Linked DNA regions of Schizosaccharomyces pombe. Changing the gene in region 1 together with any one later gene gives a genetic interaction. Each region holds a gene or a part of one and is shown in the gene's direction. Other genes may lie near its edges. The genes, in order: cut8, txl1 and rhp6.

Region 1 (11,189 bases):
GTGAATTAGTGGAATACTTTTCTGGCGGTACTCGCCAAGTTGATGTGGAGAAATTAGGAGTATGCACAGATAATAGTAATGTTGAGTTAAGTAGTTGCCCCGATTCTTCATTTGACGACGAGAAAACTAACCAGGTTAACTCTGAAGGATTGATTATTGTGACATGGGATGGCGAAGATGATCCTGAAAACCCAAAAAATTGGCCTTTATGGGCAAAGCTCGTAGTAACATTTGATGTTTGTTTTTTAACGTTTGCCGTGTATATGGGGTCGGCAATCTTTACTCCTGGTATTCAGGAAATTCGAGAGACGATGCATGTAGGAACCGTGCCCGTAATCTTGGGGCTGACTCTTTTCGTTGAGGGGTATGCGGTTGGCCCTCTCATTTTCTCTCCACTCTCTGAGGTACCTCAAATAGGCCGTCAAAAAATTTATGTGCTCTCCCTTATTGTTTTTATCTGTCTGCAAATCCCCACTGCGCTAGGATCTAGCTTGGGTGTTTTGCTTCCAATGAGATTTTTGGCGGGAGTTTTTGGCTCACCTGCCCTCTCCACTGGAGGAGCCTCTCTGGCCGATATTTGGCAGCCATGGCTTTATCCTTATTTCATGTGTTTCTGGTCCCTTGGCGCAGTTGGTAAGCTGGATCATTTAATTTGATAGTGAATTTGTGACTAACTAGTTTTCTAGGTGGTCCTGTTTTAGGTCCCTTGCTTGGTGCAGCCATGGTAGTTGCTAAATCATGGAGATGGCAGTTTTGGCTTTTGATGATGATTTCTGCACTTGTCTTGGTAATTATAACTTTTTTTATGCCAGAAACCTCTGAATGGCATTTATTGTATAAAAGAGCTAAAAGACTGCGCGAATTGACTGGAAATCCAAATTATAAAACGGAGGCCGAAATAGCCTCCTCGCAATTGAGTAAAGGCCAATTTGCAAAGCAAATATTGGTTCGTCCTATAATTCTGTGTGTCTCAGAACCAATCGTTCTGTCATTAACCATCTATATTGGATTAGTATATTCAATTTTATACCTATGGTTCGAAGCCTTTCCCATCCTTTTTACTACAGTCTACCATTTTACGACTATTGAAAACGGGTTGGTTTACATGGGTATATTGGTAGGTTCAGTTCTAACCGTAGCATTTTACTTTATTTACCTTAGAAAAGTGATGATTCCTAAGTTTGTGGAAAATAAGGGTAAGTTTCCTGCTGAAGAAATTTTAATCATCTCATTTCCAGCTGCCTTTTTTATTCCAATTTCACTCTTTTGGTTTGGTTGGACAGGAAGAGAATCGGTGCACTGGATTGTACCAATTGTTGGTACACTTTTCTACGCATCAGGTTCCTTTTTGTTGTTCCAAAGTATGTTTCAATATTTGGCAGCTGCATATCCGAAGTATGTTGCATCAGTATTTGCTGGAAATGCTCTTTTTCGATCTTCCATGGCTGCAGCATCTCCTCTATATGCTAGAGCCATGTTTAATAATACAGGTCCTTCATATGCCCCAGTGGGGTGGGGAAGCACGATTCTTGGTGTTATTTCTTGCATAATGATCCCCATTCCATTCTTGATTTATAAATGGGGTTTGAAACTAAGAAGTCGATCAAAATATGCCACTTAAAGAAAATTCATGCTAAAAAAATACCTCTTTACTGGTCCCTCACCTATACCTTCCTTTATTTAATTCTGGTCTTTTGTGATCATTACATATTATTCGATTACTCCGTGGTAACCTTAACGAAGGATACGAATTTAATTTTTATACATTAGATATTTATGAGTTTCTTTGCTGTTTATTCCTTGTCATTTTTTAAAGTGCTATTAGTTGGATATGGTTATTTCTACTCTAGTCTTTAATAATTTCTAATGTTATTAGTCTGGAAATATTAGTGTTTAATAAAATGGAGCTTGGCGATACGTTTACAATTGCTCTAAGCTCGTTACTCTTAGCCAAAAAAGGAAGCCGGAATTTATTTACAAAACACCAACTGAATAAATTTGTTTACGTTTTTAAATGTGTTTACCTAATAACTTGACTTTGTTAAGTGGATGTTAGTTCCAAGCGTTTGATTGTTAATCATTGCAGTTTTAATATAAAAAAAAAATGAAATGTGAAGAAGAGTAAAGTTATAAATATATTTTTCCTCATCCCTCCTGTTTTCAAACGTATTGAAAAAGATCATGCTAATTGACTATTTTTTGCGTGCGAATCCATTTTGAAATTTAATCTTTCATATTCTTATTTAAATAACAATAAATAAGACATTAAGATAACGAGCAGACACAGCTAACTACCTCTAACTTAAAGTTTTTTTACTTTAGGGCTTCCCTATATTTTCATCTGTTCTCTACGAATTAACCGCTTTATTTAGTTTACCTTGAAGTTAATTTGTGTACTATCCAAAACATCGTTAAAGCGTAAGCAACGCGACAAGTAGTTTATAACACTATTGTAAAGCATTTACCGCGTTATAGCTTTTTCCCTTAAATTCATACCGAACACAGTACGCCGCGTAAGATTGAATAAGGTTACATTGAGCTTTTCCATCGCATTCAAAATGCTGCATTCTTAGTTATCCAAGGCTACAAACGCTTATTATGGAAAGGGCAGTCGAACTTTCTGTTAGAAGTTAGATGGTTTTTAATTCATCATGAGTGATTCCTTTCATTATCAATATGATCGTGCTTCGCCTGAACGACTAAAGCCTACGATTTATTCGTGGACGCGTCTTAGACAATCTACACGTGCCCAAAATGAAAATGAACAAGCTAAAAGGCGACAGGGGATTTTGGAACATAAAAGGGGAGGTTCCATGGAAATGAATAAATTTATAGACGAAAGCGCTTATATGGAATGGGAAAAACAACTTGAAAATGCCTCTGAAGATTATGCAATTGAACCATCGGATCTGGAAGAAGAAGTTGATCAATTGTAACGATTTCTGAAAAAGGAAAACATAACACTATGATTTTATTCGTTTGCTGCTGCTGTCAAAGCCTTGCGTTGGTTCGCCTTGACCTAATGTCAGCTAAAAACTTCTAAACAACTTTATATAAACCAACTTAACATATTTTAGCAGTTACAATCAAAAGAATTAATTACCTAAGTTCGTGGGTTACTAAATTGAAAATGAAAATAAGGAAATTTTTACAAAGAATCAATTATATATAATCCAAAACCCTAAGTTCAATAATATAACAGCGATGATACATATCCTTTAGTCAAGCCACTTACTGGGTTGGACATCCTGCAGTTTCCATAGAATTATCAATCAATGGAGCTGGAAGCGGCTTTTCCTGTATTTCTTCTACCAGTTTCGAAATGATATCTGCATCTTTACGAGCATCATATTCGGGACTCTCAAAAATTTGAATACATTTCTGAATTTTCTGGTACTGTTCTTCAAAACCTTGCTTCTCTGTCTCCTTCGCATTCTTTAAAAACTTAGGATAGTTTGCTTCAAGATCTTTAAGGGGTTCATACAAAATCTCTTTACTGGTAACTTGTGACATTAGGGAGTTTAAGGCAGCCTCTAAAGCACCATAGTTAACGGCTCCATTATCCGAATCTTTTTCCGTTGCAAACTGATCCTCTAATATAACATTGAGTAACTGATCATTCTGAAAGCTAGACGAAAGTTGACTCCCATCCAAGCCAGACGGTCCCCCTAAGTCTTCAAATTTGCTCATCATTTCTTGAATAAGTGAATTCAAATTATCGTCATTCTTTATCCTCTCATTCTCTTTTGATGTATTACCGGTTTGTTTATGCTCATCTATGTTTTTCTTCTCTTCGTTCTTAAATGCACTGGGTACATCTAAATCATCTAGGATATCTTTGTTTTGTTAGTTGTTTCCTTTTAATGTAAAGTCCTTTCTACCCTCTCATTATTTTTTATATTTATGCAATGCAAAATTCACTTGAACGAAATATCGTAATACACAAATCGTAGTCAGGACATTACCGATGTTCCATACCATCCAAATCATCAAGGTCGTCAAAATTCGGCTTTGTGTTGCTTTTTGTATTTTCTTTACGGTTTTCGTCTCCCTCAATAGTTGGATTTGACATTCCGTTTATATATCAGATGTCAGCATACGTTTGTCGTTTTTCAAAAGCCTCTTGCAAGTTCAATTATCATGTAATTCACAAAATAAATAAAAAAGTAGTAAGTTCAAAAAAAATGAAAATTTGGAACTGCCAAAAAAAAATAATAAAGTGCTTCTCTATTATTTTTCATGTAGGTAAAACCGTAGTGATCGTTGTTTATCAAAGTATATCAGCGTGAAAACGTTCAAGTGCATTAAGATGCGTTATTTGGTTTCAAATTTGACGCAATTTTAAATCTTCAAACAACAAATTTAATGGAATTTTTTTTATTTACTGGATGTATGAATCGTTTTAATTATTCATTGTTTGTGTATCTGGTATGAATCGAGTACGAAATTAACGATCATAAAATCGTCGACACAAGAACGTAAAGTCTACCCCCTGCTTTTATTACTTGCCTATGATCAGTTGAAATGAAGCTTTGTTTTCATTTTTAGCATCACCAATAAGTTAGAATTGACTACTGTTTACCAACAACAATTAGTTAAATAGTTATTGACTATAACATTGATCCATACGCACAATTACTTCGAAAAAAATTATTATTTTGCTCTTCCAACTTAACGATTTTCTGTACTGCGTTAACATATTATTGTAGGCTTGACACTCAGCTGCGGTGACATTATATTAAATAAAATGTAATTTTTTCAGTAAACAAATTAAGGAATTAAGTAATAGTTTGGTAACGTCTCATGAGAAGAAAACTCTTGAGCCACTAAATTGTTCTTACCATTTTCCATTATCTTTTTTAAGAAATCGAGGTTCTAATTGAGCTGGTATTGCGGGCAATAGAGCTTCTTGTAATATAGAAATTATAATCGACGGTTTTATTTCATTTGGGCTGAGAAAAAAATTAAATTGCTAGCTTTCATAAGTCGATACACTGAGCAATAGCCATCCTTCCGGCTTTTAAAAAAGGAAGCTCATTAACAAAGTATCCTCTATCTTTGTTTTATTGTTACTACTTTTGAAATTTTTTCCTCTTTCTTTTGGAATATCCATTTCTTTGTAATTTTCATTTTCTTTGTTATAATTAATCAGACGATTTCACGTTTGAAGTTGGTATCTTTATTTGTTGTTACTGTTCATTTCCTTAATTCATGGAGACCTTATCTTATTCTCAGATTAAGAAACGCAAAGCTGATTTTGACGAAGACATTTCTAAGCGTGCTCGTCAACTACCTGTGGGTGAGCAACTGCCATTGTCGAGACTGCTACAATATTCAGACAAACAACAGCTTTTTACAATTTTATTACAATGTGTAGAAAAGCATCCTGATCTCGCACGTGATATACGGGGCATATTACCGGCGCCGTCCATGGATACTTGTGTTGAAACGTTGCGTAAACTTTTAATTAACTTGAATGACTCATTTCCCTATGGTGGTGACAAGAGGGGTGATTACGCATTTAATAGAATTCGTGAAAAGTACATGGCTGTCTTACATGCGCTTAATGATATGGTTCCTTGTTATTTACCTCCATACTCTACTTGTTTTGAGAAAAATATTACTTTTCTTGATGCCGCTACAAACGTTGTCCACGAACTGCCAGAATTCCATAATCCCAACCATAATGTTTATAAAAGTCAAGCGTACTATGAATTAACGGGCGCGTGGCTTGTTGTTTTAAGACAACTTGAGGATCGGCCTGTAGTCCCTTTACTACCTTTGGAAGAGTTGGAAGAGCACAATAAAACATCACAAAACAGAATGGAAGAGGCATTAAATTACCTTAAGCAATTACAAAAAAATGAGCCACTTGTACATGAAAGAAGTCATACTTTTCAACAAACAAATCCACAAAACAATTTTCATCGTCATACTAATAGTATGAACATTGGGAATGACAATGGAATGGGTTGGCACAGTATGCATCAATATATTTAAAAACTAGAACAGAAGGCCTATAAGGAAACATATAATGGCTAATAGGAAAGCGGTTTGCACAGTAACTGTGTTATGAATTTGAGGAACAACCTTGGCACCACTAGTCGGACGCCCAAAAGACGATGAAACGCGTGCAAGTCCTATTTGATTTCCACTGTTTCCAGCGAACATAGATGGACTCGTAGCTGTTGATTGTCTTGTGTTATTAATTACATTAGCGGTAGATCTTAATGCATTATTTTCATTGTTAGGAGAAGTGGTAGTAGGCACTGACTGAGGCTTTGGGTAAGGTTCATTTTCAGCGACTGTTGCAGTAGGAGCTTTTACGGCAGTAGATGGGGCTTCATGGGGCTTCTGGTGAGAAACTGCAGATGTTTTAGGAAGCTGGGTATGCTGTGTAGTAGCTGTAGATGGAGCAGCTACGGGATTTGCATGGGTCGAAGGAAGTGCCGTTCCGTCTATTCCTTTAGAGTAAGATTGATTAACATTACCATTTACTGTGGTATAATTGTCAGTGGCAGAAGTAGGAATAGATGTAGTCGTTGTTTGAGCTGGTTGATGGTGAGCATTAGCATGAGCATTTGCAGTACTGGGGCCTTCACTATAAACACATCGAATTTTTCGTTCCGATATATTAGCCTTGCTGACTTGAGTCCACTATTAAAGTATTGGTTAGAACATCAATTATGTATGGCATGTATTAAAAAAGTAAATGTAAGTATATCTTTTATCACATACAATATCTGCTATATCCATTCCCTGTAATTCTGGCTTCAATTCAGTGCTCTGGACCAAAAATTTATCGCGGCATTTTGTGCCAGGAGCCGGTTCGTGATCTAGAGGCTGTAGGATAACTATTAAAAAAAAAGAAGTTAGTAAATGAAAATTTACAGCAATAACTAATGAGCACAAATTATCTTCCAGTGCACGCACAAAAACAATAAAAACTGTTAGTTTGCAAAAGAAAATCACGTTGATGACAACGTTTTTGTTCCACCCGACAACATCAATGATGGGAACCGCTTAAACGAATAAAATCAAAAAATGCAAATGAGGTTCAAAATTAAATATAAATTATCTTACCTTCAACACTTACAGCCGAATTGGCTTCAATTCGACCACCGTTGGGTCTCACACAGTACTGTTTAGGAGCAGTAGTTTTCACTTTGAATCCGATCGGATAAGGTGCAGTATTGCGAAGTTCTAAATCACATTTTACTAGTCGTGTAAGTGGTCGAGGAAACACAATTGTACTATCACATTCAAGAGCCATGATTTACGGGAAAGGCGAGTTTGTTGCGAGAGGTGGTACTACTTTACTCTGCGAAGTACCATTTCGCAGTGTAGCCAAAAATCGTGGCTTTACGTCACACATACTTGTGTGTGATTTTCCGAGGCTGAGCAAAGATTATGGTAATATATGGATACTGAAATAAAAGGAGATAATTATTCAAGTAACTGTTTTCATCGATATTATACAAAGCCTTATAACGATATTATTAAAATAAATGTGATATTTTGAAAGTAAAAAGTAATATATGCTAAAAAATATTTTGCAGTAGGTGAATAATGTACGAATGCAGTATGGTTATAAAATCCCAATAAGTATATGGATTTATTGTTTGTGAAATTAATAAATGATATAAATACCCAAAAAGGATGATTCAAGTTATCCTTTTTAATTTCTAAATGTCATGTTAATGCGTTTGAATTGTCTTAATTACAACTTAAGAATGCAAGGATGAAGTAAACATTATGATTTCAAAAAAAAATTGCGCATTCGTTTACACTTTCTATTCAAAGGAAATACGTTTTTTGGTTTAGACAATCATTAAATAGATATTGTATACTTTCGTTAATGGTCATTATGCTAGGGAAAAATCAACATTTTTATTTCAAGGAATATCAGCGATGCTTTAGAAAGCATACCATGTATAAAGGAAACGAATTACTCGAGTGGATGCCAACTACAGGATCACGAAAGTCAGTAATCATTTTCAATCATCGGTCTGCGGATGTCGTGCAATATATACAATCATTTATTCTTCTAATTCATAGCGTAATCGGTGGTAACTACAATTATTTTGTTTCATTTGACCTGTCATTTCTATTTCAATGACCAACAAATTTATAATGCTCTCAACTGCGATGTTTGGTAATACGATATTGTAGATATTAGCACGTTAGATGTTGAGTCGATGGAACGTAGGGCTATTTTTGAGCGTCATTGTAATTTGCCTTTTGCAACTACAAACTCTACACAAAAATGGTTTTGAAATGTTTGGAATGCGATAAATTGCTTTCCTCCATCGAAATGGCTGAATTTCATAGTACCAAAACCAGTCATGATCAATTTGAGGAAACTGAAGAAGAGGTATGTATAGATTTTACTCCTTTTACTTTTTGCTGAATGGTTGAAGCGTTCGAATTGTTAACCATCCTTATTATTATAATTCACGAAAACAATAATTTGTTTCACTCGATCCTTTCTTTTTATTAACAACGATTATAAAACATAGATTAAGAAGCGTTCTCCCGAAGAGTTAAAACAAGCTATTGAAGCTTTAAGAGAGAAAGCAAAGGAGAAAAAGGAAAAAGAAAGGATTTTGGCTCTGGAAGAGAAGAAGACAAATTATAAAATCCTTCAAAAATCCAATGATGAAACTGCACAGGCTATGAGAAAGATGCAGGATCAAGCCCGCTTACGTGACTTGCAAAAGATCCGTCAACAAAAGGCTGAAGATGCTGAGCAGCGTAAGAAAATCCTCGCAGAAATTGAACGCGATAAAAAACGACGAGCTGCAGAACGGGAAAATAAGAATTCTTCTGTAAAAGAAACGGCTGCTCCCATCAAGCAGCCTAAAAATGCCAATTCGTCTTCTACTTGTACTCGCACCCCTCCTACATCAGGCAGATTTTCTATCCGACACGATGGTCAAGTTTGTAATATAACTATTGCAGCTGAGGAGACGCTACGCCAATTGGCACAACAGGTCGCTGAGAAAATGAACGTGTCACCGCCAACTAAGTTTACCACTACCTTTCCCCGTGCCTCATACGGCACTGATGTATTTGATAAACCGGTTAACCAACTTGGTAAGTATCAAACTAGTGTTTACTGTCATCATGTGTGACATTAGAATACATGTTTTTGAAAGAATATTGTGTTGCTACTAGCATCTAAACGACATATCTTTGTTTCCTCTGAAAACTTTGAACTATAGACATGGAATATATTATTAACGCTTGCATAGATTTGTTTCCCTCAGCCGTTCTTATTCCGCAATGGTAAAGTTATGACCTTTTGATAATTATGCTGTGTTAATAATGATTACGATACTTGATAAACTGGTAGAAGATATATATATCAAGGAAGATGGTGCTGAACGCGCCAAGTATCCAAGGCAGGTTAGCATATGTGTAGTTTAAGTAATCGGAGGCGGGAAATACGAGAATGCTGAAAGCGTATGAAGTGTTTCCTACAGAGGCCAACACAAAAAAGATAATGGATAATCCTTCGGTAGACTTTGCTTTGTGATTCTTGATGATTTGAGGAATACGAGCACAGAAGTATAACACAGAACTGATACAACCGGCAGTAAACGGCCATGCATTCAAGTCATCATCACTCTTGTCAGAAGAGGCACTAGAAATAATTAAGTTTCCAACGATTGTCGAGACAATAACCACACATCCCATTACACCAAATTGTTGACGGGTAGAAAGGCGATCCCACCAAATTTGTTGTTTACCAATGGGTGCATGAAGACCTTCTTCTAATGAACGACTTTGGAGTAAGGGTTCGTGTTCACGACTGGCAATACGACGGGCAGCTTTCCAACGATAGTAGTAAATTTGCATAAGTAGGGTACTGTCAGAGACAATGTAATAAAATGAGAGAACCAATACAGTAGAAGAGACATTTCCGTAAATGGAACCAAGTACATTGAAGAAATCGCCAATAAGCCAGATGATTAAAAATAAATCAGAGATACTTTCACCAGACTGGTTTTTATAATTTTCAAGTAATTGAGGGATCAGTAAAACGACCCAACATCCCAGGGATAATGCTCCTAAAAATGAAGACAACTCCGTGAGTATGTTAGCCATATCAAAAGAAGGAGCTATCACAGACATGGGACAAAAATGCTTGCGAACAGATAATTTTAAAATGAATTTGAGAAGAGCTTGTCTAAGCTTTTTATGGTCAAAGTTTTTTATATGAGTGTGGAGGACAATAAATAAAAAGAACGGGAAACAAAGGGCTACAAAAGCGAAGCAACCTGAAAGGGAAATCAAACTATTAATTTAATAGGAATGATAAGCAATTATTAAAATTTGTCAACTTCCTCGAACGTGTAATGCTTCAGCACTATAATATTCGCTGATTTATTTTAGCGATCCAAGAGATGATACTTAATGAAAATTCGTTACAAGTATTTTTTTTTGTTTTAAAAAATAAACACTAAAAGGAATATCTATAATAATAATAATAACAATGGTAAACAATATTTCTCCCACTGTAAAGAAACAGAAGAGATTTGGTGGTGAGTTTGGCTCTGGATAAGATCAACCTCCCAGCCGTCCTGTTATTTATTTACCTCGGGCAAGGCTATATAGAGATTTCAAGATAAGAAAAATTTGCCGCCCATGCAGTTTCGCAGAATTAAGAAAGTGTCCGTGGATTTACAGATACAATTGATAGTCAATCCAAAGGTATCATTCTAAAGAAATATAAAGGAATAGTAAGCGAAATAGATTTTCCTTCGAATAATCCTATTTCACTTAACAATATAATTCTCAATGTAAATAACAGTCGCATTAATTTTATCAATGTCAAGCTAACTCGTTTTTGTTATAAAATTTAATACACCATAATATCGCTAGCAGTATTAAACATTGAAATGTTTACGTGACTTGTTTGATTCTCAGATTATTTGCAGTAAAAGATGTGCTAATTCCATGATTTAATTTCGAGACTATAAAACTCTATAAAAATTTCTTACAAATTGGGATTTTTATTTTTTTTTCTAAACAAGGGTAATGAAAAGTCATGAACGATTCATTTCGTATATTAAAATATTAAAAATAATAATAATAAAAAAACGCTGAAAAAACTTTTATTTCTAAACTCACCAAAAGGACCCGAATAGTATATCTATCCATTAGTTTAGAAATATTTTATTAAA
Region 2 (11,019 bases), on another chromosome or scaffold:
TAGCAATTATTGATAAGTCACTGGAATATTAATTAAAGAGTCGTATACTTCTTGAATTATGTTTCGTCTTGTTTCTAAATCCGAAATCTTCGTAGGCGATTTTAGAGCTTTAGGAGACCACATGTAAATGTTCCCATTCATATCACCAGTAAAACACTGTTCAAAGTCAGGACGATAGGCAGCACAATTAATACGTTTTAAACTGTGGGTTGAAAGTCGGCGCACAAACGAGCCTTCTAACAAGTTCAATAAGGCAAGAGACCCATCATCGTTGGGGAATAACACAAAAACATCTGAATCCATAGAGGGTTGGATCATGCAAGGATGTACCGCGAAGGAAGTAGTCTGGTTATGAATAATAGGTCCAAATTCTCTCAATGTGTTTCTTCCACTTTCCATATTCCATACTCTTATTCGATCGTCGGTACCACAACTTGCCAAATATCGAGCATCTGAAGTCCAAGCTAATCCATTAACGGTGCCGTAATGAGATATATTTGTCTGGTTACTGGGTAAATACTTATTATGTAGATCCATACATGCGAAGCTGGATGATACTTTACGAATGTCCCAAAGTCTGCAAGTGCCATCTGCAGAGCCGGACGCTAACACGAATTCATTCTTAGGACACCAATCCACCGCAAGGACATTACCCGTGTGTCCAGACAAACTATGAGTATAACTACCACTTTGCATATCACAAAGCCGAATAGACGAAGACCGGTAGGCGGCTATCGTTAGATGAACAATCTCAAGAATGAAGAATATAACGTACTGGCAATTAAACAATGTGATGCAATGGGCGACCATGCATGTGAATAAATCATGTCCTCCATAGTAAAAGTGTAAGCTTCCTACCAATATTAGAACATTGGTTAATTTGCGATTTCTACTTTTATTACCTGTAAAGTAGAAACATCCCAAACCTTGAGCGTATGATCGAACGACGAGCTAGTAAAAATACCATTATCAAACGGAAACCAATGCAAATCTGTTATTCCAAACTTATGACTCGTTCGACTAAAACACCGCAAGTTAGCTATTGATCACTAGTGTATATATTGAAATTGTCATAAACTAGGTAGAAAATGAATGCTTACGCAGGAACTGCATTTAAGGTATCCAAAATTAAATCTTCATCTTCCTTTTGGTCAATATTTTGTAGGTCCCAAACATTGATAGACGAGTTGGCTCCTCCAGAGACCATGCTGTCAATAGAAATTGTTAACCAAAAATTGAAAGCTTTGATAAATCAACGATATAGGTCATACAGCTGATGAATTGTATTATCAATGCTTAGTGCATTTACGGATCCTAAAATGCCCGCACCGTGTCTACGTTTAATTTTCACATCCGGATTCAGCGCTAACCGTTGAAGACGATGCTGCAGTAGTTGCCTTCGAAAAGAGCTATTTGGCTCTACAAATGTGAGACTTGAAATCCTTATATCACATAATCAATTGCATTACCTTGGCCCCATTCTCGTGCCAATAAAAAAGAATTCATTCGATTTCACCTAAGAAATAGACTCAGATGCTACAGTAAGCAACTGACAGCTTAAAACAACCCGGTTTTTAAACCATGTATAACAAATTAAGTCTAAATAAAATTACAGCTAGTTTAATATGAGCGGTAAATAATACTGTCAATTAATCAACTTCTATGTTTAAATAGCAAACTCAAAGGTAGTTTCCAGGAAACAATAATAAAAAAATATGTTTTTCGACGTTGGCTAGACGCACTACTAATAACGGTCGTGGTGTACGAGATGGTATTGGCAGACGGTTTATAGAACTCAACCTCAACCATATGTCAGTTATTGAAATTAGATCGTACCAGCACTGGATCTCAACGATCCCTAAGTCCGGATATCTTGCAGTTGATTGCTATGCCGATTGGTGTGGTCCTTGCAAAGCAATTTCTCCCTTATTTTCACAATTAGCATCGAAATATGCTAGCCCCAAATTCGTTTTTGCTAAAGTAAATGTAGACGAGCAACGTCAAATTGCCTCCGGGCTTGGCGTCAAAGCAATGTATGTGTTTACCTAATCCGTCACTGTACCATTGGTTTTGCTAACATTTTAGGCCTACATTTGTTTTCTTTGAAAATGGCAAACAAATTGATATGCTAACTGGAGCAAACCCACAAGCTTTGAAGGAAAAAGTTGCTTTGATTTCCTCAAAAGCCACAGGAACTGGCGCTCTTGCTTCTTCGTCATCGGCACCTGTCAAGGGTTTTGCTAGCTTGCAAGGCTGCATTGAAAATCCCCAATTGGAATGTCTAAATCAACAAGATGATCACGATTTGAAAAGTGCATTTAACAGTAATCCTTCCTCATTTTTAGAGTCGGATGTTGACGAGCAATTAATGATATACATACCTTTTCTTGAAGTGGTAAAGGTTCATTCTATTGCAATTACTCCTGTTAAGGGAGAAACTTCGAGTGCTCCAAAAACCATCAAATTGTACATCAATCAGCCCAACAATCTTTCTTTTGAAGATGCTGAGTCATTTACTCCAACTCAAGTCATTGAGGATATAGTTTACGAACAAGACGATCAACCTACAATTATTCCCCTTCGTTTTGTTAAATTTCAACGTGTCAATTCTCTCGTTATTTTTATTTATTCGAATGTCGGAGAAGAAGAAACTACTAAGATTTCTCGCTTAGAATTATTTGGTGAGCCTGTTGGTGATTCAAGTAAAGGAAAACTACAAAAGGTCGAAGCTTAGGTGCTTAACAATTTGTTAACTAAAATCATGACGGTTTACGAATTTACCTTTATGAAAATCTAGTTTCGTATACATTACTCGACCAATCTGGTGTCTTGATACCAAAGAATACTACAAACCTTTCATTTGAGCATTGTAATTGCTGACTACTCACGAAATGGGAATATAAATGGATAATCTAATTTATATAGAATAAAGATTTTCTAAGCGGTAACGTTTGATAAATAAAATGAATGTTTTTTAATTTTGTCTCACGTAGAGGAAATTTTGTGAGAAATCCAAAAATTCCACATATTAACACTATGATGACCTTTCCCAAAGCTGAATAAAACTTTCGCCTAAACGAATCATATCGCTACTGATTTCTTCAACATATAAGTCTTGAATTTGATACCATTTATTGGTAGAGGGGTTTCGAATTTGAATTCGGAAGTTATGAAATTCTTCTTCAGCATGTGTCACGGACTCATGTATAATATTAGCAACGAGGTTGTATTTCGTAGAGATTTTCGGATTTGACTGGATAAATGAGTCATCAATAAATGGGCTCATATCAAAATCATCCAAAGGAAATGTCACTATAGTTTGGTTTCTTTCCGTAAAGTAATTGTTTTTCATAAATCTTTTGATGTGAAATATAAAGTATGGAGGAGCCGTCATTAAATGAAAACGCCGTCGCATACCTGCAAGTTCTTGGGTATGTACCCCATTATATTTGTTAAGTATCTCTTTTAATTCTACTTGTGGGATGATATTACCTTCAAACTCATCTTGGAATATGGGTTTCGGAGGTAAATCAAGAGTAAGGTAAAGAAAAGGGACGACGTTAGTTTGTATAACCCTATCACCAGTAAACACAACTTGCTCTCCCTTTTCAGCATGTTGGCGAATTTTCTGTGATTCAATACGTACAAATCCTTGAAAGCTGTAATGTACAATAGAAGTAGGTTTTGCTATGGTCGACTTTTTTCCACCAAGGCAATTGTGTAAAGTATTTAAAAACCAGGAAAGGAATTCTACTGGATCTTTTTGTTCATTAATAGAATATTTTTTGTGAGAAAGAACTGTAACCTCCTGAATGAGTTCTTGAGGAGAGACATGGCTCTTGAATGCTTTATGGTTCCAAAGTTTACGAATAAGGATTGCCAATCTTTGGACAAGTTGAGGGCAATTATCAAAGTTTTTAAGCAAAAAATAATTTCGAAATGGCTTAACATGGGCCAACATATGAATCACCACATTAAAGTAATCGTTATTTTTTATATTGTTCATGCCAACAAAACCTACAAGTGTTAGAACTTAAACCATTAAATAAAATGAATCCTATCACTTTTTCATAGTAAGCTTTATAAAAGAAAACAAAACAATTCCCCACGATACTTACCTGGAACATAGGGTTTGAGCATTAAATCGTAACTGAGCTGTGGTGTGTGATCTAGTCTTTGGACTTCTAGTTTCGTAAAAGTAGGTCGCATCACATAGGCAATATCTTGTAAAGCGCTGGATTCTACTTGATAAGATTCCGGCAAGACATAAAACTTTAATGTTGAGCAATTTACAAAAACATGATGATTTTCGGTGAGTGCATGGAAATAAGCATGTGATGAAGGTCCACGACCCTGGAAATATCTTCCACAGACTAAGCAAGCATATACACTAAGATTTGTCAAGGAAACGGAGCAAACCTTTTCAAAATCAAAATCTAACAATTTACGATTGATCTAATTAGCGTTAATTATAGAACAAAAATGCAGCAAAATCACTCTTACAGTGTCCAAATATAGGTTTTGTGATATTATTGGAGTTGTTTCGTGTTCTTCCATCTCTTTAGACGCAATATCATGAACATCTTCCATGTCTTTACCCAATTCGAGTTTTTTGCGTTTTCCATTATCAATATTATTATCTTCTTCAATATGGCGTTTTAAAATATTATTTTTATCCTTATTTTCTGACATTTTTGAAGCTTTACCATCTATCGATAACTTCAGTTACTAAGTCGTATGGAAGTATCTTCCACATAATTGCACTCGTCTAAGTCAACAGCAGATCACGCTCTTTCAAGTCATTTTCTACTTTTACTAGCTTTCTCTTTCTTATTTTCATATTTAATGTATTAAAGGGATATCTAAATACTATTTCAAGCCGGAGATTTCACATTTAGACCTGGTTCTCTGCTTCTAAAGCCGAAAGCGGTTATTAGTAGATTCTTCCGTAACTTTCATTTCATTTGGTTGATAGAATCTATCCCATCAAAATTATAACTTATTTTTAATCCTTTTTGATTAGATTTACATTACCCTTGTAATCCCCTGCCAAATATTATGGATTGGTAAGTGGTTTTATTTTTTCCCCTTTCGAATGCACAGTCTACTAATTATTATTAGCATCGATAAATCAATCAGAAGGGAATCTTTACGAAAACTTGGCTGCCTTCCCGATCACGGTTGGAATCTGTTCGTACAATCAAGTAATCGTTACTCAAAATTGCTTGAAGCAGATTCTAAGCTATTTAAGGCCCAAAGAATTGAGGACACTGTCTTGTCAATTTGTGAAGTTACTTTGGAAAACAAAGCCTCTGAAAATGCCTTGACTTTGTTCCAACAGCTTCGCTTTTACTTGCTGAATTATCTATTTTTGGAAGATACCTCGGAGTACAAAAGTGTTTTATGCTCACTTGATGAATCTGTCTATCCTAATCTTTTACCACTGACTGCGAATATTTGCCCATGTATTCTTAAGGCGCTTTTAGCGCTTGTCAGGCAGCATAGAGAATTATCTTCCGATATAGTGAAGTTTTTGAATAGCATTTTTTTGGCACTAACTCGTATTCTAAATACTCCTCATTCGTCAAATAATAATCCAACTCATACTAAAACGACAATCTTTGAGAAAGTGTTTTATGCCTCCCACCTTGGTTTCTTTTTTGAAGAAATAGCCGATGCTTGCATATCAGCTTTGCCGCAAGACGCGTGTTTATGGGCAATGGAGGTTTGTAACACGATACTCGTCTCAGACCTTCCGTGTAAATTAATAGACCTTCATAATGATTCTTTTCTTCACCATTCCAATTACTATGCTGGGTTTGGGTTGAGCTATTACCTTTACCTTTCATCTATGAAAGCATACATCAATTCTTCTGGTTGCCTTTGGTATGAAGATGCTACCTCATTTTGGGATATTGTGAAACATCGCCCTTCTTCTCCGGAGGAGAAGCCGTTTTTAACGCAATTCCAAAGCATCTTAAACCTTAGTGATAAGTTTTTGTCAAAAACTGGGACCTTGAGACTTCAAGAGAAGTTGGGTACTTCATGCAATTTATTTTTTGTACTCGTACTAAAATTGGCACTTCTATCCTCCTCCTACATTGGTTTTGTTCCATACACATATAGTGATTGGATTAATGTGTTGTTAGGTTCCATATCTGAAGATCCGGAGCTCTTACCTCATTTAATTGAACTTATGGCTTCGTTGGCCTGTGTTTTCCCCACTCATTTTCAGTTTGCTATGAAAAGATTGCGTTTAATCGCTATTTATGCCCCCCGCTTTGATGATGGTAATGTGACTTATGCTCAATTAGCCTCTAGAAAGCTTGCTCAACTTTTCAACTATTCCTCAAGAGATACTGCTATCACTTCAATATACCAGTTTGCCAACTTGCTGTCTCCTGCTGACACTCCTGATAGTTATCTTGCAGCTCCAAAAGAACGCCTTTCTATTAGTGACAATATGTCTAGTTCTTCTTCACAAACTGCAACGGTAAATACAATTTCAAACTATTTGAATGTTATAGATTCTGTTCGTGAAATTGCTTTGACAGTTAACGATGAGAAAATTTATGGATTAGCTATTTCTTTGTTGATACAAAAGTTCTCAAGAAAATTCGACTCGAGGGTGAGTACTGAATTAGTGAGAACACTAGCAGATATATCCACTAAAGCTAATGATCGTGACTTTTCAATATTGGTTCAGTTTTATTCTATTCAAAACAAAATGCTCGTGAAGAACGGTGATGAAGCTCTGACAATTGCTATTTGTGATTCCCGCTGTTTGATCGCTAGAGGTACGGAATCTAACTCTTTCAAGAGGTCAGATTTGTTGAAAAGTCTTCTAGAGGAGATTATCCATATAGGTATCGTTCGTGATACACCTGCCCCTGAACTGAAAGGATATTATTTTGGCATGTCTAAAGCCGTCCAGGCTTTAGTCGAGTGTGTTGCAGGTACTGATTGGAGCAGTTTGCCCAAGGAAGAAATGTATCCTGCACTGTTCCGTGACATGTGGTTTACTTTAGTCATAAATCGTTTCCGTTATTCAGTTGATTTAGGTGAAACACTAGAAGTTGACCTTGAAAATATTGCCAAAAATTCTCCCCTTCTTGTTTTTGAGGATTTTGGTAGCAATTTTGAGAGCAATTTGGAACTAAACACAGTCCTCAGGACTCATATTGAGCATTCAGTCATTTCTCAGATTAAATCAGAGTTGTTAGTCAGGGTCCCTAACATTGATCTTAAGCCTTTGAGTACTTCAGAAATTTGCTTCTTGTCTGCTGTCCTTTTACTTGAATCTTTGCGTTGCAAATCGAATAAGCTTTCTGCGCTTGTAGAATACTTGCTTGATCCATCTTTGAGAGACAGTCAACTCCCCCAATCTATTCGTGCTATTGCCCTATATAACTTAACATCTTTCGTTGAATCATTGTCCAAAGAAAGAAGAGTTGCTTCTTCTACTATCGACGAATTTCAAAAACTGTTGTGTCTTTGTTGTAATAGAGTTGATTGTGTACGACAATTGGCTTTGGAATGTATGAATTATATTATGGAGACGTTACCTCATTTACTCGGTATCAAAGAAATACTGTTTAGTGTTTTAGAGCTTTCCAGCCTTCTTTGGAAAGCTCGCACTGAAGAATGCACTGATCAGTATGTCCCTCAATTATTATACAAATCCAATAAGCTTAATTTGAGTGTAATACTTTCAGATATTTACTCTTGCAGGGAAGAAGTTCTATTTCAATTTAATAGACATGCTAGATCATGGATTCAAAATTCTTCCAAAGCAATTCCTTACCAGGTTAAGAACTTGCTTGAATCTTATTTAGCAGACTTTGTGGACTTTGACGATTTAGAAGTCGTTGAGCTTGGACGATCTCTTGCTGTTGAGCTTGGCACTCGAATCGTGAGTTCTGATCGTGACAATTTTGTTTTGCCTGCTTTTGGAAATTGGACTCCCGATACGAGCTCGGAATTTATGGCCGAATATACCATTCGTCAACGGTATTCTCATGTCGACAATTCTATTTTGAATATTGAGGGGGATATGTCAACAGATAGAATAGATCTTATTTTGAACGAAAAATCCAAGCTTTTTGAAACTCATTTAGCAGCACTTAAAAGTTTAGAGGATGATATATTACAGGGAAATACTGTTTCTCCGCAAAGACTTCGTAACGAGGTTAGAAAAGCAGCCGCGCATGCTGTTCAAGAACCTATATTTCAATTCTCCGTTTTGGCTCGAAAAATTGTTCGTATTCCATTTCTTGATTTTTCACCTTCTTCGTTCAAACTCGGGATCACTTTATGGAATTGGATGATGAACCAGGTTCCCTCATTCAGTTCTTTTCTGATTTCGAATATTATTAGAAACTGGAAAAATGAAATTGTAACCGAAAAAAGGGGTTACTTTTCGACAGCCAAAAGTAAATCTCCGTTGGCACTTCCAATGACTTATTCTCCGACTGAAAGAGCTTCGTTTTTGTCCTATAAAAACAAGGTTATGTCTCAAATGATACCGCACTTATTGTTGTTGCAACTAATTGCAGGAAATTTTGAGGGCTTCTGGTACGGTGATAGACAGACTGCTAAACTTATTGTACATTTCATGAAATTCGTACTTAAGAAAATCACTTCAATGGAAGTCAATCTGAACGTTTTAACTAGGGAGCTTCATTTCAAATTTGTTTCATTTGGCCTTCGTATCGCTGAAAATTTGTTGAATAGCCCGCTTGGTTCAAGGTTTTACAATCTTTGTGTTGATGCTGGACTATGCTGGTTCAGCGGAATGCCCAACTGGACGTATGGAGCTGACAAATTACATGTAGCAGCGGAAATAAGTGTTATGCGAAGTCTTCGCGATAAATTAGACAGCTTTTTATTACGTTATCCACTTAAAGGTATGTCAGTTCCTTTCGATATATGACTAACAATATTATAGTGTCTACCACATTAAAGCAAAAGCTTCTTATTATATTACTCAATAATGAAATGTATATGCTTTATACTTGGCTGACCCCTGTTTTGCATGGTCGAAATGTCAGGATGGTTGAACCTATTCCTGATTCAGATGCCGCTTCGTCGCCAATTACTTTGGAAATGTTACAGGTTGCTTGGAACGTTTCTCCTAATATAGTGTTATACGCTCCTAAAAGATTTCAAAATGCTCCATTGAAGCAGATGGCGTTGAATTTCGTCATTGCAAATCCCTTTACTAGTGTAAAACATGAGGTTGCTTTGGAATATCTGTTTGAGCACTATCCAAGCGGTGAATTTCCTATAGATCGCAAGTTTATTCTATACTGGGAGCCAATGTATCCAGTTTCAGGGCCTGTAATGTTCATGCCGAATGTGAAATGGAATCCACAATTATTGCAGTACACCATGCGTTCTATGGAAAGTTACCCAGTTTCTGTAACGTTTTTTTATGTTCCTCAAATTGTTCAATCATTACGTTATGATAGCATGGGATATGCTGAAAGTTTCATTCTCGAAACCTCAGGAACATCACAGTTGTTTGCTCATCAAATTTTGTGGAACATGAAAGCTAATCTTTATAAAGATGAAGCCGCTACTGTACCTGATTCTATAAAACCAATATTGGATAGGGTAATGGATAAAATGATTAACTCTTTATCTGGAGAAGATAAGCAATTTTACGAACGAGAGTTTACCTTTTTCAATGAGGTCACGTCAATTTCAGGAAAATTAAAGCCGTTCATTAGAAAATCTAAACCCGAAAAAAAGGTTAGTTCTTTTCTTGAGATACATTACTAACATTTGTAGGCTAAAATTGATGAGGAGATGAAGAAGATAAAACTTGACGTTGGTGTTTATTTGCCAAGTAATCCTGATGGTGTAATCGTAGGAATAGATAGAAAGTCGGGAAAGCCTCTTCAAAGTCATGCTAAAGCTCCTTTCATGGCAACATTTAAAATACGCAAAGAAAAGTTGGTTGATGCTGACCCTGAGGAATTGGCGGTGAATGGTACAGAAGAAGAAGCCGGCGATTCGGCTAAGAAACAAACTTATGAAGTTTGGCAATCGGCCATCTTCAAGGTTGGTGATGATTGCAGACAAGATGTCTTAACACTCCAATTAATTGCAATGTTCAAAAATATTTTTAACTCTGTTGGATTAGACGTTTATCTTTTTCCTTATCGAGTTACTGCAACTAATCCGGGCTGTGGTGTTATTGATGTTTTACCAAATTGTATTTCACGCGATATGCTAGGTCGGGAGGCTGTCAATGGATTGTATGACTACTTCCGCACAAAGTTTGGTGATGAAGATTCTATAGCATTCCAAAAAGCCCGTAGTAACTTCGTACAAAGTATGGCCGCTTATTCAGTTATTACATACTTATTGCAATTTAAGGATAGACACAATGGAAATATCATGATTGACGACCAAGGTCATATTTTGCATATTGATTTCGGTTTTATTTTTGACATTGCTCCTGGAGGTATTACCTTTGAGAGTGCACCTTTTAAATTGACAACAGAGATGATCGCTGTTATGGGAGGCAGTAATAAATCGCAGCCATTTCAGTGGTTTCAAGAGCTTTGTGTCAAAGCATTCCTTGCCTGCAGACCTTATGCCCATTATATATGTCAAGCTGTGGAGGTTATGTTGGATTCGGGTCTTCCTTGTTTTAAGGGGCAATTAACTATTACTCATTGCCTGGAGAGATTTGCTTTGAATTTAAATGAACGGCAAGCATCTACATTTATGCTTCATTTGATTGAGCAGAGTTATGCAAACAAACGTACGCTTATGTACGATCAATTCCAGAAGGCCACAAATGGTAAGATGATTTTAAGCAATATAAATGAGCAACTAATTACTAACTTTTTTAAGGTATTCCTTATTAATATAAAACAACCAGCAATAATAATTATTATCCGTTTAAGTACCTTGCAGCTAAGTTTATTAGATCTAATATAACGATCATTCAGTCATAATAGTTTCTTCTGCAATGTCTTTTTTGTATTGTAGTACGATAATTTATCA
Region 3 (11,107 bases), 4.2 Mb from region 1:
ACCATCAAGTTCTTCTTTTTTTGTCCGGATAACCTTTAAGCAAAAAAGACAGATGCTCTGAATAGTTTCTTTTTCTAAGCCTTCATTCAATTCCCAGTTGTCGCTCACCACGTGAAGAAGTCGAAGAAAATTGACCAAACTACGTTCCGATAAATTAGAAGACATTGTAATAGAAAAAAATTTAGGTAGATGCATAATTGAAAATGACTGCATGGCACAGCAATTAGTTATTAGAGTATCGATACATGACTCCATTGTTTTATCTCCCTTTTCAGCGAAACGATTGAGTAATTGGAAGAATTGTTCATGAGCAGTTGGAGGTAGAACATCTTTATAAACCATCAAAACAGAAAGAATTTTTGATAGACTGACGAGCAAATCCTCAATTCGAAAGAAATCCGAAAAATTTATATTTAATGATTGTTTACCATTAATGATGTCTCTTAAAGAGTTCAAAAGGAGCTGTAAAGCTTCAACAGTTTTTGTAAACATCTTTGTGTTTCGAAGCTGATTAGTAAAATTAATCAATATGTATTGAACAACTTTCCAATCTGTTTCATGGGTAACAATATACATAACATTTTTTACCCATTCATTAATCGGCAAACTCATTAAATCCTTTGACAAAGTAGCTGAGGTATTCACCTTCAGGGGAAACTTTTGAAAAACTGGAGAAAACGACAAATCTCTGTCCTTTACTTTATTGTCCCGACAGCGTTGAGCTTCTTCAGATATAAAAGGGTTATGCCATTGCGTACTATATACAGATATTAACTCTAACTGAGCGGGAGACAAGTTAACAAAACAATAGTCATTAGTGTTTATTCGTAGTTGTAATAATAACTTCAATACTGGAATTCGAAAAGTACGTCGAATTTTGAAATCACACGAAATTTCGACCAACCCATCGTAAAGCACTGATTTAAATTCGGGTAGCAAAACATAATAAAATGTTAAGCTTACTATTGCCTGAATAGATCTAAGTTGTAAATCCCCATTACTGCTGTTATGAGCATAAAAGCATAATGAGTCTTTCACCTCGTGAAATACATTCGATGGATATATCCAAGATAAATCACAAACTAAGGAAATAACTTCATCAATTATAACTTCGGAACTAGATTTATCCAAACTTTTCACTAAGGGACAAAGCATTCGAGCATACACTTCAGGGCGAAGTTCAACTGGACAAGCAAATAGAACTTTTCTAAAGAGACCAATTAAGTAGACATGGAAATCCAAAGAAAAACTAGTATCAAAATAAGATTTAAGTAGAATTGTTTGATCCTCAAGCCATCCTTCCGAATATGGCAACTGTGATCGTAAATCAAGAACAGTAAACAACTTTTGGCTAAGTGTAGGGGTTAAATATGAAAAATTAATTTTCAGGAACTCATGAAACTTCTCTAGAACAAAATGATTAGAGTCTGGTTTTAAAATTTCGTTAAATAAAAGAAGATGTTGTAATTGATACGATGCAATAGACTCAATTATATTAGGCTCAATGTGCTGCCAAGTTCCAGGTCGGTAATTGAGAGATTTAGGAAGTGATGAAGATATTTCAACAAGCAAATCTAAAAGGCTGATCCATTCATCTGCATAAAGCACTTCAACAAAAGAACGGCGCTCCAAAGCATTATATAAAGAACGAGTGGTTTCTAAAGCTATTCGACTAGATTTATTCTTTAAGGATCTTTGAAGGAATCCAAGCAGCATTCCTCTAGTGCAATACACTGATCTAGGGATATCGGTAAAGAGAGCACTCACGATTTGAATACCACCCATAATCGCTATATAAGAACCTTCATCTGTCTCTTCCATTATCCGTTTTAGGGAATTAAGTGCTTCGTACTTGGTCGCTGTCTTCAACAGTTTCTCAACAATCTGCTGAGCTGATTGTGAGCTTGCGACTAAGCCAAATTTTGCTCGACATACTACTTCAACAATAGAATACAAAACAGCGGAAGATATGCGACCATAGGATATAATACAATTTAATAACGAAAAAACTAATGCAATGTCTTCTTCATCGGTGGTGCTTTTTGAGACCCACACACAATTCGCTAGCATAGAAGAAACCTCCATTTCATCAAATAAATTAAAGCCCACCCTGAACATATTCGTAAGCAAGAGAATTATCTGACGAAAACAACGGGTGTAATTTCTCAATTCAGCACTTCCTTTGAAGGATTTTCTCGACTGAGCTCGCATATCATCAATAATCGTAAATAAATCAGTCAACCATTCAGACAAAACTTTAAGTATGTCATTTGAAAAAGACTCAGTTCTTTCGCCTTGGGATGTAATAACAATCAAGGCGTCTACAGTAGCAGGATAGTATTCAGAATTCGGAACCTTTGACAGCTCGTTGAATAATAGTGCACGGTCATCGGAAGACATTTCTTTATGCTTTTCAGCTGCATGAGTCCATAAGGAAATAGTGGCTGCCAGTATGTTTCCGTGAACTTTATTTTCAATAATGTCTTTAGTGGAATCAACAAGTTTTTGTAGGATTACATTTTTACAAAACTGCTCATTGTTGATGAGCCTTTTTATGCGTTTGTAGCGTTTATCCAATGACTGTTGATTCGATATTTGGGTGAGAATCGTGTCTATATCCAAAGCCTTCATAGCTTAGATATAAATCGATGCAGCAAACAACGACAATTTTTCTTTAACCCAAACGTAATATAGGTCCTGGGTTGGCACCGATTTAAGTATTAAGATTTTAAATATATTTAAAAAGTGCTAAATTAAAGATTTAATGAAGTAAACCCAAATTATAGACTGCTTAAGCCGTGGAGGATTATTATAAACTCCTGAAAAGATAGCCTTAAGAAACGTGCAGATATCGAACTGTAACGGATTGTAAAAGCACACCTCAATATAGCATCGATTAGGATTTATTCAATTTCTATGTTTTAGTCAATAAAATCGAAACAATGAGTCTTCTTCGCGTTGAAGAAGTCAGAAGATGGTTAATACATACATAATTTTAGCGAGTATATGATAAATCTGTTGGTGAATTTCGGAGTCAAGGTGGAGATATGCAAATTACTAAATACAAGAATAACCATTTAAAAAATGTTTAATCAACCACATGTATTTCAAGAATCTACATTGAAAAGTATTAAGTATTATCTCAAGTTATGCAACATTTATCATAGAACTAAAATTAAAAATTAAGGAATTTTTTATTAATTGTTTATTTTTTAAATAAAAAGTGTCTCAGTTAATTTATGAGAGAAGCCATTCTCCAAAATTAGTGACATTAAAAAACTGAGTGATGATTTGTCTATTGTGACCGTAAGTAAAGGAAATAATATTGCAAAAAAAATATGATACAAATTAAGGAAATATACCAGTGTAGTAATAGAGTTTACAAAATTTAGTTTGTAAACTTTGTAACCAAAAATCAATGCGGTTAACTATTTCCGAGAGCAAATAGTTATATGTAAACAGGAACAAAAATTCAAGGAGATGCAGGGTCAATTGACCATATGCGAGCACGTAAATCACCACTTCCCGAAGCAAATTGCCTACCATCTGGGCTAAAGCATACGGAAATAACTGAATTCTTGTGTCCTTGACAAGTGAGATAAGATTGGCCTGTTTGCAAATCCCAGAATTGCATACTTCTATCCTTCGATCCGCTTAATCCCCAACGGCTGTCGGGTGAAACAGCTACTGAAAGAACAAAATCAGTATGTCCTGTATAGGTGGCTTTGCAAATACCTTCAGGCTTAATAGCTGAAAGGCCAACTGAACGAGTTGCTTGTAATTCCCAGACTTTGATAGTCTTATCAAGACTTCCACTAAGAAGAATGCTGCTGTCGGGCGAAAAGGCAATAGAATAAACACTCTCCTTATGACCTTCCAATCGTTCAACCAAAGTACCCGACACAGACCATACTCGAATTATCTGATCTAGACTACCAACTGCAATGAATTGATCATTTGGAGAGATGGCTATTGCCGTCACACCATTCTCAATTTCTAACTTTAAAATACATTGACCTGTCTCCACATCCCAGAGTCGTGCAGTTCGATCGCCACTACCAGAGACGATGAATCGCCCATTATGGCTAAAATCTAAGGAATAGATATCTTGTTCATGACCTGAAAATACGTAACGAACTTTTTGAGTTGAGAGATCCCAGAGTTTTATTTGACGATCTTCTGTTCCCGTGACTAAATACTTACCATCAGGGCTGAAAGCAATGGTTCTCACATACAAATCACGGGAAGGATCAGGTGATTCTTCATGCAAAGTAAAAAGTTTTTTGCCAGTCTGAACATCAAAGACATTAGCGGCCTGGTTACAGCCAGTTGCTAAATACTTGCCATTGTTACTAAACTTAACGCAGCAAACAACACTGGGATGCTCTAGTGTGTGCACGAGATTAATATTAAAAACCCTTTTGCATGCTGGGTTATAAGTGACGTACCAACTCTGAGAAGTTGTCTTTCTAGCAGCTTCTGTATCTGAAACTGGAGCAATCTGTTCTCTTCCCTGATATTCTCCATCAGGACCCGCTTGGGATATAGAACCAGCATTCGCAGAAGCAGTCATAGAAGGTTCAGCCGAAGGAGTTGCTTTGGTAGGAATACGCGGTGGCTGGACATTCACAGCAGGTTTTGAAGTAGCACTTGGATTATAATAATTGGAAACACCAGGCAATTGAGGATTTGGTTGTTGAGAAACCTGATTTGCTCCGTAATTAACAGGAGGGATATATAAAGGTGTAGTACTAGGTAAATTGGATGTAGATATCGCGGGATTTTGAGAAGCAATTCCCTGATTAAAATTTTGCCCGCTAGAAGCCTCTACTGAAGGAGGAATTGGAGGCATCAATACTTCAGCAACATTATTTTGAGGATAAGCTGATTGGTGAATTGGAGGGATTTGCTGAAAGGCAGGTAGATGGTTACTTGGAGGCTGAGAAGTAGATTTGGTTTGAGAGGGATGTTCCTGATCAATATGGGTAACTTGATTATTAGAAGCGGCAAGTTCAGATCTTTCTCCACGATTTCTATAACTTGCGGTATTCGCTTCGACACCTAATTCTTCAAGCTCTCGCTTCAACTTGTTGATATCTTTTTCGTACCTATAAATGTTAGTAAATTGGTGAAGACAGATGTTATAAAGGTTTTTTTTTTTTTACTTCAAGCATATAAATCTCGAGCGACACGTATGCTATTATAAAATAATGATGAATTTCACAGAAAAGAAGTAGATACTATATAATCCCTCGATACCTTTAACATATAAAAACTTACGTTTCTCTAATAGATTTTTGTTTTTCATACATATCATCCACGGTTTTTCGGAACGCTTCAATTTCTTGAATTTGAGATTGTATCACTGCAATAGAACAGAATGTTAGTTTCCAAAAAATAGCTAATTTAATTTATTTTATTCAAACACGTACTAGAAGATTCATAGTCGTTTCCGCGCGCCTTGGACGCGAAGCTATGATGAGCCAAAGCATTGTATTCAGCCTTCAACGCATCCAGCATTTCTTGAACTTTCGTGGCATCCTCCACTGACGCCATTTTTTTTTTCAGTCAGACTTATTGCAAAAACTGAATCCGATTGATATACGCCCTTTTACAACAATAGCAACACTTGAATTGTGGTACAAGAATAAACTTGTGTTCTTGAACGTTTGTAGCAGCACTTTTATCGAGCGGCTCCTTGTGCTGCGCTAATCTTTAAATAGAGAATGTGGTGCTACATATTTTTGGTTGAGCAAGTATCACAAAATTAGTATGGCGTGTGTGTTGGCAACTTGTCCCAATTATTTTGAAATTCATTTGAATTATAGAGAAAAGCAATTCGAAACCCTTTACTGTTTGATTTTTTGTAGCGTTTATATTATTTTTTTGAATATAGATTTTCTTGCTTTTCAGTTGATGTTTGTTATAAAAAAATAGTTATAACTTTGAAACGTAGTGTAATTCATTTTTTTTTTATTGATGGAAAAATTTGTTAACCGTTTTTATATATCAATATAAAAAAATTAAAATTTGTGTTTAATCAATTTATTATCTGATCCTTGTTTAATTAGATTGTTTACCGACCTTTGTAAGACATTATTACAGTGAGTTTTATCTTGATAAGTATTAATTAAAAGTTATGATAGTATTTAACCCGTAAATTCACATTTCATTTGCTAATGACTCAGTTAATCATAAGTGACATTATTTGTTTAATGATGCGAAATTTGACGCACTTTACTGATATTAAAACATTGTTGGTTGTCTTAAAGATGCTTTTTTCATATAATCTAGTTATCATGAAGAAGGATGAAAAAATCCCATAGTTGAAATTTATTAACACTAAAGCAAAATGTTTAAGCGCAGCAAACCGAAGCCGTCAGAAATTGAGCATTTAATCTGACACGATATGCCATTTACACTTCAAGGGCGATTAATAAATACACTTTGGATTTATTTTTAAATCATATTTATTGCTTATTTACTTATCAATTTTTGTTTGATGTACTATTTAAGTTGTTTTGAATTTTTTTTTTATATGACATTAGTTTGGGATTACTACCCAGTTTAATCAGTTTAATGATACAGGAGGAAAGCAAGATTAAAAAAGGGACGGACAACGTTCATTGCATATCTTGTTATTGCTTGTCAGTTTACGGCCCTCAGCGTTTGTTAAGCTACACTAACTATTTACTTGTAACTTGATAAATTTTGGTATGCTGGTGGTAATACGAGTAGGGGCCAGACATAAAGCAATGCGACAATTAATGATATGTTGCATAGTGGGGCATAATGTAGTGTAACAGCTGACGCTATATATCATCGAGATGTTTTTACTTACGTTTTACAAACTATTTCACTAAAAAGTTTCCGTATAGTTTTATCAGCAATTTGTTAATATTGATATCAATACATATATATATATATATATAAGTCTATTTATACATCGATAACTCTACTAGTCCCATTGTCAATGCTAGTGAATATACTTGTTTTCCGACAGAAATGACTCGTACTCGTGTACAAAAAATGATACCGAAAACCATTGAATACCAAAAAATGATATCTGGTCAACCGTAAGGCTAATGCTTAAAACTTGTCGAGCTAATATATCATCTTCGTTGACATGTTTGAAGTCACATTGAACGCAGGGAGATATTCTAATTACTAAATAACAGGTACAAGGCTTACGACGAGGAGTTGACTCAAGCGAGATGTAATGCTAAAAAATTAATGCGAAGGTTTAATGACACTATGGGAGATTTGGAAAATGTAGGCCCAGCAGAATTGATTAAAAGACGAGCTGAACTGTTGGCTGAAGTTTTTGTATTTGACGAATCTTCAGCACCAGAGATTGAGCCACCTATGGCTTTTGATTACGGATTTAACGTTCATTTTGGAAAAAAATTCTTTGCAAATTATAATTGTACATTTCTAGATGTTGCCATAATTACTATTGGTAATAATGTAATGCTAGGCCCCAATGTATGTTTATATATATATATAGTTACTTTCAAGTCATTCATTCAAAAAATAAATATACTAATGGTGTCTTTCCAGGTTCAACTATGTACAGCAACACATCCCTTGGATTTTAAAGCAAGGAACTCCGGAATTGAATTTGGTTTACCAATTAACGTATGCGTTAGTCCAGTTATTGAAACATCTTACAACTAACAAACAAAATTTTATCAAGATTCAGGACAATGTTTGGATTGGTATGGGAGTTATAGTTCTCCCAGGTGTTACTATCGGGGAAGGCAGTGTAATTGGAGCGGGTGCTGTTGTTACAAAAGACATCCCACCTAATACGTTGGCTGTAGGATCACCTGCCAAACCTATTCGTAAAATTGAAAACGAGTGAACGAGTGTAATTTTTTTTTTTATTATTTCATCTAACGATTAAATGCTCTTTGAACTTCTTAAGTTCACCTGGCTTGGTTCCTAAATTTTTAAAATAGTATAAATAATATTATATTATGTTTGAGCTTTAAATTGTTATATAGAAGACTTAGAATGCTAAAAGAAATCCATTTCTCACTCGCCAAGTAGGATCAGTTTCCTCCTATGACTTGCTAAAGCCCCCACGTGGTACTGCAATCGATTTTAATTCTAATGCTTAGCCAAGTCTAAAATAGTTGAAATTCTTAGTGGGATAAGAACTCTTAACCCCCACGATATATTTGAATGCTAAATAACCTAACCTAAAACCATTTTACACATTTTATTACTAACTTCATTATATTCTTGTAGAGGAACCATCCCATTCACCAGTTCTGAAGTCTCGACAACGAAAATTCATAAAATATGGCGCCTGCAGAACTTAAACGACCTGATTTAATCGTTCCCTACAAAGCTAGAGTCAAAGCAAATGAAGAAGGTAAAGTAGAAAGCACTTTCAAATTGAACCCAATCGTGAGTTACGCTGATTTAATCGCTCAAGCTTTAGTTCATTGTGGAATATTTTAAATCCTTTCTTTCGTCAAATAATTTATTAAGTTTGCTAACCCTATTATAGTTGGCTTGAGTTTGGTAAGCACAGCCACGTGTATGGCTGCTTTATTTCTTCGTTTCAAGTATGTAAGATATTTTAGGATTTTCATGTTAACGAGAAGATTAATTGCATGGGTTGCTTTTATCCTAACCTTTTCAAATTTACTGAACGCAAATACGTCTCCCAGCTCATCTCCGACTTCAATGGCTTTGTAAGTAATCCTAATTCATTGCATTAATGTAGTTCTATGGATGTTAACATTTGATCAGTATGGGTATCGCGGCTCTTGTGTCAACATATTTACCGGTAAGTTGAATTTTTATATTTACTTTGTCGATTAACTTGTGCAGCAATTTTTAAATACTCCAAACAAAACTTAGTAATTTTTAAGTCAGTGAATTAATAAGAGTATTAAGCTGATTTTTTTCTGGATAATTAAATTTATGCACAATGTAAATATCTAATGGTGAAGAGTTCAGATACATTTCTAACTACCATTTCAATCACGTAGCAGACGCGTAAAAAATTGGCTGTTTGTGTTTTCTCATTGTTAAGCTAGTGAAAATGTAAATTTATTTCTTACATCCTGTTGCTCTTTCATTTTTTCTTCCTAATGTATTTTAGTTGCTTTTTTAAACCCAATGAGAACAAAGGCTTAAAGTAAATATATATAATTTTCACATGTTCAACAGTTTACCGTTAACAAATGCACGGACCTTGATTATGATTAATGGTTGAATGAAAAATATCAACTTTCCTTATCTTTAACTATAATTTAAATGAAGTAGTAGTTCATTAATACTAAAGCAGACTTGCATTGCAAATGCTGAACATTACTAAAAGGTTGGTCTAGTTATAAGGTAACTGAGCGTGCACTTTATTATTTTAACGTGTTGGGTGCGCCCCATTAATAATGAAATACTGCATATGAGTGAATGGTCCTACTATTGTTCCCTGCCCTTCTCCAACAACGCAAATCGGATATCCTAACTCGGTGTAATTCCAAGGCGATATCGATATTTGTGCAACTTTTTTTTAAAGTTATCACAAATAGAAGAGAGGTTGCTATAAAAATGTCAACGACCGCAAGAAGACGTCTCATGCGAGATTTTAAGGTACGGCAGTTGTGGATCCGAGAAGACTTATATTAACCAATTCTTAGAGGATGCAGCAAGATCCTCCTGCTGGAGTTTCAGCTTCCCCTGTCTCTGACAATGTAATGCTTTGGTAAGTGTTTACCTATGTCAATTCATTTTTCTCTTATTGTTATGCAACGTAATGGTGAATATATGTGCTATATATTGAATGCCTTTTTTGCCATATATTTAGGAAGGAGATCGTTTCAAAATTCTTACAAGAAGCGATCTTTTTATGCTTGTTGGTTTCTGGATTGATTGCTTTTGTTTTTTATTATTGATGTTGGACTAACCATTTGAGCAGGAATGCTGTTATCATTGGCCCAGCAGACACTCCATTTGAAGATGGAACTTTTAAGTTGGTTCTTTCTTTTGATGAACAATATCCTAATAAACCTCCTCTTGTAAAATTCGTCTCCACAATGGTATGCTTAGTCATTGTATTTAGACAAGTCTTAAATTAGATTATTTGATTTGTTGTAATTTACTTTTTTCTTGGTTTTTTTTGTTTACTTACTTATTGGCTTTAGTTCCATCCAAATGTGTACGCAAATGGCGAACTTTGCTTGGACATTCTGCAAAACAGGTGGTCTCCAACTTACGATGTGGCAGCAATTCTTACCTCTATTCAAAGGTTTGCTTTTCAGAAATATTACTTAAATTTCTCATAACTAACTTTTAGCTTACTTAATGATCCAAATAATGCGTCCCCTGCAAATGCCGAAGCTGCTCAGCTGCATCGTGAAAACAAGAAGGAGTATGTGCGTCGAGTACGAAAAACTGTAGAAGACTCCTGGGAAAGTTGATTTCAAGACATAGCTGTCTTAATAATCCCTATTTCATTAGAACTTACTCTTCTTTTTCAACCGCCTTTCACATTAAATCTATTTAAGTGCTTCAAAGTTGCCAAAATTGTAACTATAGTAAATCATTAAGATTTTTTTGTTTACATCTACGAATGAATGATTTCTTCCTTATGTTTAGAACTTGTAAACTATATTAATGTGCGACTAATCACATATACAGACATGTACATGCAAAATTTATATTGATCTTATTAAACATAACCTGCCCTAAACCACACAAAAATACCAAACCAAGCGCAAAAACTCCATTTTTTTAAATACATATGGTCAATTTTTTTAAGTAAACCTCAACGGCTGTTCCCAAAATAATGATTAACGACGTTTCAAATTCTTCTTTCTTTTACGATATGACTGGCCAATTTGAACAGGTGAAGCTAATGAGCCATCGTTAACGTCTTCAAAATTAGCACGTCTCTTAGCTCTAGAAGTCAGGTCTAATTTACGATTTGAAAAGTCATCGTCATGGAATTTGCGATCAAGCAATGACCAGTCTTCACCACCATAATCGTGTTTCTTTACACGTTTAGATTTCTTTAAATCTTTCTTCGATAATTTAGGAAGGCGAGTATAATTACTTTCCTCATACTCTATCCTCTCACGCATTTTTTGCA

The links.
Region 2: mutations in cut8 (region 1) and txl1 impair growth when combined (synthetic growth defect), as found in Schizosaccharomyces pombe (one study listed by BioGRID).
Region 3: mutations in cut8 (region 1) and rhp6 are lethal when combined (synthetic lethality), as found in Schizosaccharomyces pombe (one study listed by BioGRID).

Annotation. Positions count from the first base shown.
Region 1 is NC_003424.3:4,472,639-4,483,827, forward strand, and holds cut8 (nuclear proteasome tethering factor Cut8), read left to right. Parts: upstream 1-4,839; 5' UTR 4,840-5,211; coding exon 5,212-6,000; 3' UTR 6,001-6,003; downstream 6,004-11,189. Other genes in the region: MFS family transmembrane transporter Mfs1, read left to right, coding at 1-633, 687-1,621; protein dhm2, read left to right, coding at 2,652-2,936; protein Pex19, read right to left, coding at 3,232-3,836, 3,979-4,072; scs22 (VAMP/synaptobrevin-associated protein family protein), read right to left, coding at 6,004-6,657, 6,739-6,854, 7,084-7,273; SPOM_SPAC17C9.11C (zf-C2H2 type zinc finger protein/UBA domain protein), read left to right, coding at 8,267-8,374, 8,520-9,096, 9,255-9,292; G-protein-coupled receptor Stm1, read right to left, coding at 9,322-10,137. UniProt on the Schizosaccharomyces pombe protein: Together with nucleoporin alm1, tethers the proteasome to the nuclear envelope. Involved in ubiquitin-mediated protein degradation and facilitates the degradation of nuclear proteins like mitotic cyclin and cut2. Required for normal progression of anaphase.
Region 2 is NC_003423.3:758,269-769,287, reverse strand, and holds txl1 (thioredoxin-1-like protein Txl1), read left to right. Parts: upstream 1-1,797; 5' UTR 1,798-1,809; coding exon 1,810-2,033; intron 2,034-2,085; coding exon 2,086-2,734; 3' UTR 2,735-2,936; downstream 2,937-11,019. Other genes in the region: DNA repair ERCC8 family protein ckn1, read right to left, coding at 7-731, 776-854, 903-1,020, 1,101-1,208, 1,272-1,419, 1,470-1,506; ubiquitin C-terminal hydrolase Ubp10, read right to left, coding at 3,035-4,017, 4,119-4,455, 4,504-4,692; 1-phosphatidylinositol 4-kinase Stt4, read left to right, coding at 5,059-5,066, 5,122-8,906, 8,948-9,753, 9,793-10,813, 10,867-10,880. UniProt on the Schizosaccharomyces pombe protein: Has a role in cellular detoxification of alkyl hydroperoxide.
Region 3 is NC_003424.3:296,156-307,262, forward strand, and holds rhp6 (ubiquitin-conjugating enzyme E2 2), read left to right. Parts: upstream 1-9,450; 5' UTR 9,451-9,567; coding exon 9,568-9,609; exon of another isoform or gene 9,610-9,656; coding exon 9,657-9,721; exon of another isoform or gene 9,722-9,901; intron 9,902-9,934; coding exon 9,935-10,055; intron 10,056-10,160; coding exon 10,161-10,264; intron 10,265-10,312; coding exon 10,313-10,436; 3' UTR 10,437-10,607; downstream 10,608-11,107. Other genes in the region: SPOM_SPAC18B11.11 (GTPase-activating protein), read right to left, coding at 1-2,631; transcriptional corepressor Tup11, read right to left, coding at 3,473-5,108, 5,281-5,365, 5,433-5,556; SPOM_SPAC18B11.09C (serine O-acetyltransferase activity), read left to right, coding at 7,006-7,076, 7,179-7,485, 7,561-7,638, 7,697-7,864; protein pat10, read left to right, coding at 8,308-8,380, 8,519-8,576, 8,616-8,705, 8,764-8,800, 8,845-8,874; U3 snoRNP-associated protein Lcp5, read right to left, coding at 10,809-11,107.